Drosophila melanogaster: one gene and its partners. The protein of the gene in region 1 interacts with the protein of each later gene in a pairwise test. Each region holds a gene or a part of one and is shown on either strand. Other genes may lie near its edges.

Region 1 (4,176 bases):
GGCCACGCGAATCTGCGATATAAAATGCATCCTTAGAAATTACAGAAGAAAACAATTGCAGATAAAAAAAACAGCAACAACAACAAAATGGGTGGACGAGGAAAGAGCGAAAGGCGCAAGAAAAGGAGAAACAACAATTATTGAATGAGTTGGCTACTGCTCCTTCTTCTCATTATTATTCTCCTTCATCAGCTTCTGCAGCCGCTTTGTTTTTGTTTTATGCATGTGTGTGTGGGTAAATGTGAGTGTGTCAAAATTTAGCAACAAAGAAATTTATATTAAGTCATGCTATTGACGGCAACAACAAAAAAGCCAGCTAACTTAAACTTACCATTTTGATTCTCCTGCTTACTGCTAACGGTGGTTGTTCTTGATGTTCGTCCCTCCGATGGTTCTTGTTGTTGTTGTTAACCACAAAAAAAAAATCAACAGACCGCGCACCCACGCGTTTTTCGTTCTTTTCTTGGTTTTTTTTTGTGTTTTGTTTAAAATTTATATATTAATTTCTTTTTAACAATGCGTTTTTGATGCTGTCAACGGAACAGAACAATTGTGCGGCAAGTTAGATAGCAAATGCAGCAAATATAAAAGGCTGGACTCCGCAATTTTCAGCGCGTTAGAAATGTTTTTGTTGTTGTTGTTCTTCCTGTTGTTATTGGTGTTGCGATAATGACTGCATGCGTGTGTGCATGCGTGTGTGTTGTTGTTGTTGAGTGTGTTTTTCTTTTGTTGCTGCACGCGGTATTTCGCTTCGGATAAATTTGTTCGTATGCGTTGTACCGCGCAATACACGCAAAACGAGGAATCGGAATAAAGGAGGAAGGAAACGAGAACGAGACGAGAATGAAGCGACGAAGCCGAAAACACACGTAACATGCCAACTATCGCAACTAACGAGATGCCAACTAGATAGAGCTGGAAAAACATCGATGAGAATCGATAATGGTGAAGCGAGAAAACGTCAGTTTGACGATTATTGATAAGAATGCCGATGTATACTAAAACTTATATTTGGGCACACTTATTTATAGCGTGTTTGCTCTAAAAATATTAATAGCTTAATATTACTTATAATATATATATATGGAAAATATTTTAAAAATATAGATATTTAAATGAAAACATTTTAAATTGCACAAAGGGAGACATAATAAACTTACTTGGTATTTAAACAAATCTATCGGTCTGGCACGCGGTGCACACAAGACTATCGATAAATGGCGCGCGTCTTATTTCTTTATATTTCATGATATATATCCGTTAAATTCTAATCACGTTACAACAAAGTATATGCAAGTTTAACATGGTAAATGAGAAGCGAGCTTCAGCTGTTGCATTTAAATAAATGATGCCAACTGCAATGTACATTAATGCATTTAAATATGTTTTGCCAACTTTAATGTTCAGCTAATTTGTTTATGAAACTGAAAGTAATTAGAAGACTTTCAATCTAAAAAAAGTATAGAAAAAATATATATTGACATTCAAGATATTTAAGATACTTGTGGGGTATTAATTTGCAAAATTTCTGCAAACTTCGACGCTATCGATAAGCATCGATTATTCTTTTTCTTCCACCTCTAGCACCACATGCGTGTTGTTGCTTGGGCATCAAAATTTGTCGGTAAGTCTGGTTTTCCCGCTTTCAATTTCGCAATCCGCCGACACAAGTCCCTAAAAGTCCGCCGATTTCAGACGGTCCGCGTTGCTGATTGTTATTGAGAAGATAAGGAACGAGAAGAACCGGTACTACGCCAGGAGACAGGACTCAGGATCAAAGGCTTCCACGGACACGAAAAGGAATCCACATAGCTAACGAAATGCCTAACGACACTGTGGTAAAGGTGCAGGAGTACAAGGACTCGTTGATCCTCAAGGCAGAGCTGCTAATCACCAAGGGGTTCCCGGAGAATATCGTCCGGCTGAACGAGCTGCTGGCCACGCCGATCTTCAACGAGCGCAACTTCGAAGAAGTGCACCAGGACCTCAACATCCCGGTCCTGCCGCCTCTCCTGGTTAAAAACGAGTTGGAGGATCGTGACAGTCTGCCCACCAAGCGCCAGCGCGTGGATGTCATCGTCTCTGGGCAGCCTGTCATGGGTCTGCCCGCCGGTACAGTGCCGTGCAACAAGCCGCTCTGCGAGATGATCAAGGTCGTCAAGCCTATCATCAGGAAGCTTGTGGAGGATTGTAAGTACACCGTATATTCAAGCGTCTCAACCTAATAAATGTTTTTATGCTATTCAAGAGCCCCTTCAATTTTCCTAAAACAATGAATTCCAAGAATTTTTACATTCGAACGGTACAAATGCCAGTAGCTAAAGTTTTGCCTGACATTAAGCTTTTTAATGAATACCTAGTAATTTCTGAATTGATTTCTTTTGCAGCCAATCTACTTAAGATGTGGATCTCCTTTATGATACCCAAGATCGAGGATGGCAACAACTTTGGCGTCTCCATTCAAGAGGACACGCTTGCCGAAATTCAAACTGTGGAATCCGAGGCGGCCGCCTTCTTTGACCAGATATCGCGCTATTTCTTGTCGCGCGCCAAGGTGGTGTCCAAGGTGGCCAAGTATCCGCACATCGATGATTATCGGCGCGCAGTCGTCGAACTTGACGAGAAGGAGTACCTCAGCTTGTGGCTGGTCGTTTGTGAGGTCCGCAATCGCTACTCCTCGCTGCACGACATTGTTATTAAGAACCTCGAGAAGCTAAAGAAGCCGCGCTCCTCAAATACCGAAAGCCTGTATTAGGCTAGGTATTTCCGAAGCCCGAGCCTCAACTTTTTTTTTTCCTTTCCATCATCTTACTTTTCAATCAATAATCAGCCCGTAGAGCGGACGGTCAGCAATTCTTGTCGCTACTCAAAAAGCTAAGATTTTCCAATTCGGTTTACAAACATCAAAATTCTTTAATTGAAGAGCAGTGATTGAACAATAGCTGTAGCCTAACTACCATCAACTATTAATCCATTTGTACTACGTCTAGAATGTAATGTTGAGATTGGCGTACAATACAAGAAACCGATGCTGTATAGATTCCACTAATAGCTATAGCTATGCATAAAAAGAATAGGCGAGCTCCATTGACACATTTTTTCAACATTTCCTAATGTAAATTTATAACACGGGCGCCCCTCATACGGAAAATGTCCTTAAAAATGTGTGAAATATAAATCTTTATAAGTAATTCGCTCCGAATAGGTAACACTGTGCTTGTTTTCTTGTTTTACGTATTGACTATGGGTTCTACTTTGGGGATTGATATCTATCGCAAAATCGAAACAGGCGCCCAGACATTTAATAAGGTGGAAATTATTGCATTCGATGCGGCCAATCGAAAAAGACAACCTTCTGATTTAACAGTTCAGAAAATTCTTAACGTTACTATGAATTAAAAATGCCCGCCAAAATGTCACATAGTAAATTCTTTTGCGTTCGATATTTGTTTAAAACTGGAAAAAAAAACAAGAATTAAATATTGCTTACCAAATCTACCAATTCTGTATATATGCACAATTTCTTTAAGTGTGTTTGCCAGACAGCTGCAATGCTATAGCTGCCTGCTACGGCACTTCGGTTCGAACATGTTCGCTTCAAACGCCCGCCAAACAGAAAATTCAAAACACCAAATGGTTTAAAAAAAAGGAAGTGTATATTGAATAAATCAAGAACATAATTACTATTTACAGCTAGTACTATCGAATTTATATTTACAACTAATTTAACTACATCTCGACCCCATACATACAAAAACATACATAAAAAACTAACATCTCTAGTTTTTTTCTCACAATTTTAAAAACTATCACTTAGAATAGCTGACGGAAAACAAACAAAATAAGAATATTCTTGCTGGTGTGTGCTAAATTTAGTTGCGTGGATTATTTATAGTAATGCATTAAGTTAGTGCTAATACTTTCGATTTCTTTTTTTTTTATTTAATTATTTTCTTTTGATCCTAACTCGTGTCCGGTAAATTGGACTTTCGATTCGATTTCGAGGCACTTTTAATTTGTTGTTGGCAGTGGTTAAGTATATATTCTATATTCGGAATTTTCTCGTCGTTCCCTACAACTTAGCCTGTAAGGCTTAAATCTATATATGACAATAACATTTTTCACAAAGATTATCAACGTTTTGGGCTTAGCTAAATCTTTAAATCTAAGCTCAGT
Region 2 (3,664 bases), 4.7 Mb from region 1:
CGTTAAATAAAAACTTATCAAATGCACAATATTATGATAAAATGTGGTAATAAAACATAAATGATGTTGGCAATGATTAAATTTACTTCTCTATAAATCAAAAAGAACATAAAATGAGCATTTGGTTTGTATTATAAAGTCTCTAAATCTATTCGAGCGAACGATACCATATTTTCATAGTTTGCGATACTCATAAGATCACATTGGAAAACAAGTGTATGATTTCCCTTGCACACTTGCTGTCAATTGAATTGAACGTTCTGCCATTTTGCAACTTTCTTATAGAGAACATGGCCGTATCATTCCCTATTTCCGCCACTGTACTGACTGTTTTGTATTTTGTATGGTAATTGAAAACTGCGCATTCATTGATGACGGATGACGTCGCAGCTTTGACAGTGGCATTGAAAATTTCAGTTTCGCAAGCAGACTGCAGTAAACTGGTGACCAGTCGGCAGCAACAACAACAATGATAATGAATGCAGGAAGAACAAGAACAAGAAGACTACAATAACGATACTATATACCATGTATGTACATATATATATATATATATATATATAACAAAGGAACTGAATGGCCGGCATGAATTTCACTTAATAATGTGTTGCCCGAAAAACGTTTTTTTCCTCTGCATCTATGGAATTTCATCTTTCAAATAACTCATCTTGAATCTTAAATCAATTATGCGGATAGCATGTTTTCCCTGACTTTTATGCGTAATTTCAACGAAGAATTTGAATTCTCTCACGGAATAAATGTTAGTATATTCAGTGTAAATGAAAAATACGCAAATATCTATTATAGCGCTATCTATGTATCTATGAATCTGTATCTACAGATCGTTGCAATTGTTGATATTACTTCCGCCAGGTGGCGTTTTCCCCACCGCCAGTTAACTGCATTCATGGTTTCTGTTTTCCGCACACTTATTTATTTGGCCGCACTGATTAGAGACTGGAATCACAATAATAATAACCAAAACAAATGGCAGCACGTGCTTAGCATCTGGTTTGTTGTGATAAAGTGCGACTTTTCCCAGCCCACCCACACCTATGCCGCTTTCTACCCTTTCTCCGCTCGCCACACGTGCTTGCTAGTCAGCTAACCAGCTAGCTAGTTAGTCAGCTAGCCGCTAGCTAGTTAGATACTTAGTTAGCCAGCCAGTTGGCTGCGTCAGCGTCGCAATTGCGCCGCAATTGGGCACTAATGAAGTATTCTTGATACGCATTTACACTGCATTGGGCAAAGGGAGAAAGAAGGTGCGAAAGGTGAGCAAGGTGCGAAAGCTGCCAACTGAGGTGCTGATTACCCATCGCTATGGCAGCCATTTATCCTGCAGGACAATGGGAAATGGGAAAGCTGGAAAAGCGCTGGTGGAAAAGTATGGGCAACCACTCAGCTCAATTAAAAAATCGTTAAAGGGCAAACAATTGCTTTTCCGTTTCACAAATACGTTCTAGCTCTTTTAGACGGTAAGTTAAGGGGTTCCCATCATCAATTAAACTGATACTATGCGAAAGTACTAGAAAGCCAGCCAACTGTAAAGAATCGCAAAATACCCTGAAATATGTATATATTCTATGGAATATCTAGTAGTTTTGAAAGCAGCAGCCTGAGTCGCTTTCCTCAAATTCCGGATTCAAAATGTATATATTTCCACCATATACCCTGCTCCTTATCATCCTCCGCATTGTGAGTGTCCGTGCGATGAGCTTCGACCAGCCCCACAACGAACACGACGCCTCCCTGGCTAGCTATTTGGACAACACCAACGATGACATATCTCCCCAGGGCTTCAACGGCGATGGGAATGGTAGTTCGGGGGCCACAGTGGTGCCATTCCCTTATCTGGGATGCACCACAAGACCGTCCTACCAATCTGGATGTGAAAGCATGGACGAAAGCGCTAGGGACCGAGAAAAAGATCGCAATATTGATCGGGATCGAGGCCGAGATTGGGATCGAAATAGGGGTTGCGATAGAAACAGGGATCGGGACAAAGACAGGAATAATATTAGAGATAGGGACAACTGTGACTCCTGTGACGAGATTATCAATTCGCGGCTGAAGGCCACCCACATTGCCCAGAATGCCGCCCAGGTGGCCAAGGCAGCCAATGATGCACAGGCGGCCGCCGCTCAAGATGCATCGCGGCAGGCGAAGATGCAGCTGGCGGAAAAGGCCATCTCCGCTGCCCGTGCCGCCGATGCGGTGCTCGAGGGCAAACAGGCAATGGTGGACAACTACGCTAGGGAGATCCGGGATGCCGAGGAGGTGGTCGGACAGGTGAGCTGCTCGCTGCAGAACAGTGAGACGAACGTGGAGGCCTCCTGTGCCGTGGTCAAAGCAGCGGAGGTTCAAGCCGAAACATTCAGGTATAATTGATAAATATTCAATATTCAATATTGTTCACAATCCATCCAACTATCTACACAATTTAAAAGCGGAACAATTATATCGTTATATCTATCATAATATCTACCAGCGATAACATATCGATTTTTAATATCAATGCTTTTTCGATTACTAATGTTTTCAGGGCCCTCGTACAGCAGACGAGTGGCATTTTGTCGGAAATGGACAGCCTAATCGACCAGTCGAACATGGATATCGAGGAGAAGAACCAAATGCTGGCGGCGGCGAAGGCACGTGGTGACCGCCTGGCCCGCCAGGTGGCGCAAGCTAAGTCGGAGTACGAGCAGGTGAAGGAGGCGGCCTGTCGCGCCGCATCCGCCGCCGTGGAGGCCAAGCAAAAGGTCGGCACCGGCAGTTTGCTGTACAAGTCGTCGGTTCACCGCCTACCCACTGTCGCCATAAGGGCCAATGGAGCGCGCGGTTACGCACTCGACAGGAACACCTGCAATGCTCTCCTGGATCTCTACAGGCAGCGCCGACGGCAGCAACAGCGAATGCGGCGGGAGAAAATCCTGAACGGACTGGATCGCTATCAAGGGAATTCACTGTACGGGGATCACTCGTACTAACAAATGCGCTCCCTACTAACGGATGCTACGTCCACAATTCTGTTTTTCTAAACGCTGCAAATTATTTTAACTCTATTTGGATAAGAGTTTCGAGATTTTTCAACAATTTCAGTTTCACTTTTTGAGCGTAAATATGAAGTATTACCTAAATGCGAGTTGTATAATCCTTGTTTTCTTGTTAATTTATTTCCTACTTTTAAGATCGTACTAAATAGCTTGCACATATCATTACAAATCATTAATGTATTGTCAGTTATGTACATATTAAAGATCTTCCCCGTATCGAGTGACCACCGTAGCTGCTTCAATACACAATTGTTTACCAACAAATTCGCCTGACAGTGTCGTAATTCTTGCGAAATAAACAATAACAATGGGAAATGAGTGCAAGGCCAAGACGCAACGAAACACGATCGCAAAGAGGAGAAGGAGAGTGGGAGGGGGAATAGAGAAGGAGATAGTGTGGAAAAGCCATCTTGTCCAGCGGAAGAACGAATGAAAATCACAGCTGCCAATGCGAGGCTGCCAGCTGTTTGGATTTTTCCTCCTTTTCCCTTATGTATTTGTTTTTTGGAAAAATTGTGGGCGGTTGGGTGTAAAAAGTGCAACGCAAGCAGGGTTGCCACCTTTTGCGGCTCTGTTGCGTCGTTGTTTTTATTGCTATTTTGGCGTCGCTT
Region 3 (5,072 bases), 9.7 Mb from region 1:
CGGTTCACTCCGGGATTACTCTCAAATGGCCCGGATTATGTCCAATGACCCAAATCGGGAGGGGATTAGAAATATGACGAAATAGGGCCCCCGGCAATATTGCATTGGAAGACAGGAAAATACATAAATATTTCGTGAAGCCAGTCTACATCGCCGTCGAAAATTCATCTGTATTTTGGTAACTTGCTTGTCCACTACACTAAGGAGTCAGAATCTGCTCGGATTAGGAGTCTTCCAGGGCAACCTCCCTTGACTCCCGTAGATTCCCTGGACACTCTGAAGACGTCGACTGCCACAATTATTTCAACGGCCGTCAACCGCTGGTGCTAGGATATATTATTCCATTAGGCTTTGTTTTGTGTAAATTATTTTGAAACGCTTACCTGAATTTGTCACTAAATCCGGTGTCAATCGCGAGTCTGAATTGTCGTCGGTGGGCCAGTGGGCCAGATGATTTTTCTAGTGGGACAAAAGTCACATTTTTAAATATTTAAATACAGTTTTTTCTTTTTTAACTGACTCTAACTGACTATCCGTCTGAGCCTATAAGAGTTAGCATAAGAGTTTTTGCTTGTTTAAACATATGTTTCAGCGCGTGGTCATTAAATATTTGGCGTAACGTTTCGTATTTGTTTATTGACCTTTAATTTAAACAAAGTAAAACAAATTCAATTAACAACTTATGTTAACTTTAGGAAATAAATGTTCGAAATAAAAATAATGTGTTTGTGACCCGCATTTTTATGTTTAGTAAAAACAAGTGTTCGAAGTTTTTATTTTACCAGGTATGGCATTACGCTTGAATTTAGCATATTTGGACTATAACTAACCTTGTTCACTCTTGTTCGAGCTGATTTAAGCATTTATGTAACGTGTGAGCCTTTGTGTCGTTGATTTTTTCAGAATTATATCCAACTTTGACCAACTGTAAAGTCTGTCAGCCCCAAAGCGTGTGCTTCATTCCAATTGGCTTAGCGAAACTGATCCCGCATACCAAAAGTAATTGGTATTTGGTACACTTTTAAAGAATCGTCAGCTTTCTGAAATATAATCTGAAAGAAAATCAACTAATTTTGACCATTTCAAAGCAGTCGACGATCTAGGGTGATCGCTGCCTAATGAGTGATTGAAGAAAAAAATAAAGAATGTAAGAGTTAATCAGTAATTATATGTATGTGTAATAAAACAAGAAAGCATACCGGAATGCTTCACCTTTGGGGAGATGGGGCTGTCCTAGTCGTTTGAAGCGACACCGACGTGTTGATAATGAGTGATGTCCGCAATAATCCTTCGTGCAACCTAGGTCGGTTGGGTGCCAGTACTTTAAGATTTTGTCGTTTATGTAAATTGAATTCGTTTTTTTTCTTCTACTTTTTTTTGCTTGTCTGCTTTTTAGAGATCATAGATATGTAGGGTCGATAGTCGATGTCGATAGTTATCGATGCCTATGTTGCAAGCTGTGTGGCACTCCGCCCTGAGAAAAGCCTGAGCTAGGGGCACTGCCACTAAAAAAAAGAAGGCAGTTCGTAACATACATATATAGGTTAAGTTAATCTGCGAATCTGCACACTTTCTTACAACTAACTTCCTATCTTTTATACTTCCTGTGAGCCCGACGTTTATACGGACAGACAGACGGACATTGTTCATTTGATCAAAATTTGATATGTCATATTAATTGCTAGTTATAATAAAGAGATCATAGTTTCGGTGCTTTTAATTATAAAGTGTTTTTACTTGGTATACAACAAATTTGTATTTAAATGTATAGTAACTGGAAGGGTATATAAACTTTGTATTACCGATGCTACCTTCCTTTTCTTGTCTGTGTATATTTAAATTATGTTGACAGGTGATAGGAATGCCTTCCCTGAATGACGATAGTTACAGCCCTGATTTCGAAGTGTTGGACAACGATTATATCCTTAATGTGGTCTGGTCTAGTGTTAAATTGCTTGAGAATTCGTTACTGCGGTGACCTAAGGTGGCAACCACAAAGCAAAAAAGTTGTTATCTATCATTGAGTGGCCTTTGCTTGGTCAGCTTTTATTTTTATGACAGTTGTCAGACCAAGTTTTTACACGCCATTACATTTTCATAAGGCAGCCGTTCCCAACGTGTGAGTAACGGAGCATCAAATCAAAATAGTTTCGAAGGCCGTCATATTTGTTCGCAGTGAAAGTGAAATCTTGTGAAAATGACCAAGGTATCAGGGACGAAGGCAAAAGACGATGGCGAGCCAGCCACTAAGCGCGAACGCAAGGAGATGCATTCGCACAAGAAAGATCGCAGGGAGCGATTGGAACGCATGGAGCGCATGGACCGCAGGGACCGCAGAGACCGCAGAGAACGCAGGGACCGCAAGGACCGCAAGGACCGCAAGGACCGCAAAGAGCCAGCCAGAGGCCCCTCCTCCCGGATGAGGAACATCTCACCAATTCACTCGAATGCTTCGGAGAGCACTGAAGCAGACTGCAGCGACTCCAGCTACTCGGACTCGAGCTACAGCACCTCTGGATCGTCCAGCTGCACAAGCTTTTTGAGCTCCACCAGCAGCAGCTACTCGTCGAGCGACAGCGAGCCAGAGCCAGAAGGATCCGTCAAAAAGTTTGAGCGCACCAAGCACTCGTGTTGCCATTACCGACACCATCGTCGCCATAGGCGCCACCAAAACCCTCGTCATTCGCACCGTCGCCGGCACGTCACCCGTTGCCATCACTCGAATCACGGACGCTTTTCCAAGCGTTTGGCTAAAAAGAGTCGTCGTGGCATATCCGCCGCCAAGGGAGCTATCACGGTTAAGGAGGAGGTTGTCGAAAAAATTTCTCCTGCTTCAGCCCCTGGGGTCATTCAGATACCGGCACCCATTCCGCTGCCCGTGCCGGCACCCATTCCGGCTGTCCTGTCTGTTTCGGAGGCACAACCGCGTTCCCACTCCCGTTCGCAATCGCACTCCCATCTCCATAGCCATTCCAGCTCCCATAACAATCCCCACCCGCAACCCGTTCCGGCCCCTGTTCCGGTACCAATTCCTGCTCCGATCGCCATGCCAACTCCTATGAGGGAGCCAAGCAGCGTGGTATTGGACCGCAAGTCTCGTAGACGCAGCTCCACCTCGCAGAACATCGCCTCGGCCGCCAGCAGTTCTATCGGCACCAACCAAGCCATCATCCAGTCTAGCACTATAACCATTACAAAGACGATTGCCAACGCCACTGGTATGGCCGAAACCAATTCAAGTGGCGGCGCTAGCATCTCCAGCACAAAAAATAAGGGGGACAGCAGTACCGGCCAATCTTCAAAGACGGTTGTCACCAATAACGCGGGCAGCAAGGCGGGTTACCAAGCCCCCAAGACTTCAGTGGCAAGCACATCTTCGAAAGCGGTGGTCAGGTCTAACGCAAGCGCCAGTTCAGGCCACGGGAACCACACCAGTTCCAGCTCGAGTTTCACCCAGCTGCACTCCAGTGCCAGGCCCTCGACAGCCAAAGATCACGACAAGAGTCCTCAGCAGAACCGCTCAGGCAGCTCAGGCCCCAAGGGCAAGTCGTCGAAGATCAACGATCCTCCACGTCGTGGCTCTTCACCGTCTGCTGGTGCAGAACCTACTCGCCAAAAACAAAGCGTTCAAAATCAAAATGGGCGGAATTGCAGCAGCCAGTGGAACCATCGGCGCGGTGAAGGGGATGGAGAAGGAGCAGAAGCAAGTGGACGGGGCTACAGAGCCGTGGGTGAGGTAAACAAAGTGGCCTACAGAAACGGAAAGGACGCCTTCAAATTTCGCCAACCCGTGCGCAATGTTCGCCTGCACATTAAGGGATTGACGCGTCAGGTGACCAAGGAGCACATAACCGAGATATTTGGTCACTTCGGCGCCCTGACGGCAGTCGACTTTCCAATGGACCGTTTCCAAGGGCGCCAGGGACGCGGATACGCCTTTGTGGAGTACTCACGTCCAGAGGACTGCGCCAGTGCCATCAAGCATATGAACGGCGGGCAGATCGATGGGAAGCTGATCAGGGTGTCCGCCTTTCAGGAAAGCATGCTAAAGGCGCCGTGGCGTCAATACCGACGTTACTCGCCAGTCAACCGGCGCCAGAGCCAGCGTACGTTGTCCCGCTCGGGCTCGTCGTCACGCTCTCGATCGCCGTCCCGCTCTGCGTCCGGCTCGGAATACGGGTCGCGGTCCTCCCACTCTCGCGTCCGCTCTATGTCGGGATCGCGCTATTCTCGGCGCAACCGTTCGCAATCGTGCTCCTACACTCGCTCATCGCCGCGCTACGGGCATTACCATCGCCCTAGACGCGATTCGCGTTCGCCCTAGATAGGCGGACCTGTCTAATGTTGCAAAAGGAAGGCGAGATTAAGCCAGACAGGATTTTCAGGACTCTGCCAGATGCCTATTTTATTCCATTCCAACTTCAAATACAAATGTAGACTTGATGGACATCGTGCGTTTTAAAAGTTACTTATTAATACCAGTCTAATTTAAAAACATTGTTGGGCTTAAAATAAATAAAAATAAAAATCCATGCTCCGCACAAAAAAGAATTGTGAGGTATATCAGAAAATAATCATCGTATGTAAGGTGGTTATCTGTTAGTAATAATATAAAAGCCCACTGCAATCAATCGATTACCAAAAGACAGGTAAATGGTATTTCGTAGAGAACGCTTAGAAAAAAAGTACCGCTATTCGATGTAAAATCAAGAACAAACCATATCGAAAGTACGGTAAGCCCAAAACTTGTATAAGGGTATAATATATATAATAGGGTATAATAGATTCGTTGAAAAGTATGTAACAGACATAAGGAAGCGTTTCCGACTATATTAAGTATATATATTCTTGATCAGGATCAATAGCCGAGTCGAGACAAGTCGTCTGTCCGTCTGTCCGTATGAACGTCGAGATCTCAGAAACTATAAAAGCTAAAAGGTTGAGATTCAGAATACAGATTGTAGAGACAAATGCGCAGTGAAAGCTTGCTGACCCGTGTTGCCACGCCCAATCGCCAACAAACCGCCCACACACTTTTTTTTGGTTTGTTCATAATTTTATTAGTCTTGTAA

Evidence for each region. Proteins that work in one complex are often made in the same cells at the same time.
Region 2: the proteins of REG (region 1) and CG12985 interact in a two-hybrid assay, tested with the Drosophila melanogaster proteins (one large-scale study listed by BioGRID).
Region 3: the proteins of REG (region 1) and CG34334 interact in a two-hybrid assay, tested with the Drosophila melanogaster proteins (one large-scale study listed by BioGRID).

The regions. Positions count from the first base shown.
Region 1 is NC_004354.4:13,210,769-13,214,944, forward strand, and holds REG (proteasome regulator gamma), read left to right. Parts: upstream 1-1,556; 5' UTR 1,557-1,624; intron 1,625-1,681; 5' UTR 1,682-1,820; coding exon 1,821-2,190; intron 2,191-2,387; coding exon 2,388-2,755; 3' UTR 2,756-3,640; downstream 3,641-4,176. Other genes in the region: sno (strawberry notch), read right to left, coding at 332-334.
Region 2 is NC_004354.4:17,882,098-17,885,761, forward strand, and holds CG12985 (uncharacterized protein), read left to right. Parts: upstream 1-1,620; 5' UTR 1,621-1,710; coding exon 1,711-2,378; intron 2,379-2,542; coding exon 2,543-2,987; 3' UTR 2,988-3,141; downstream 3,142-3,664.
Region 3 is NC_004354.4:22,870,819-22,875,890, forward strand, and holds CG34334 (uncharacterized protein), read left to right. Parts: upstream 1-1,993; 5' UTR 1,994-2,197; coding exon 2,198-4,324; 3' UTR 4,325-4,549; downstream 4,550-5,072.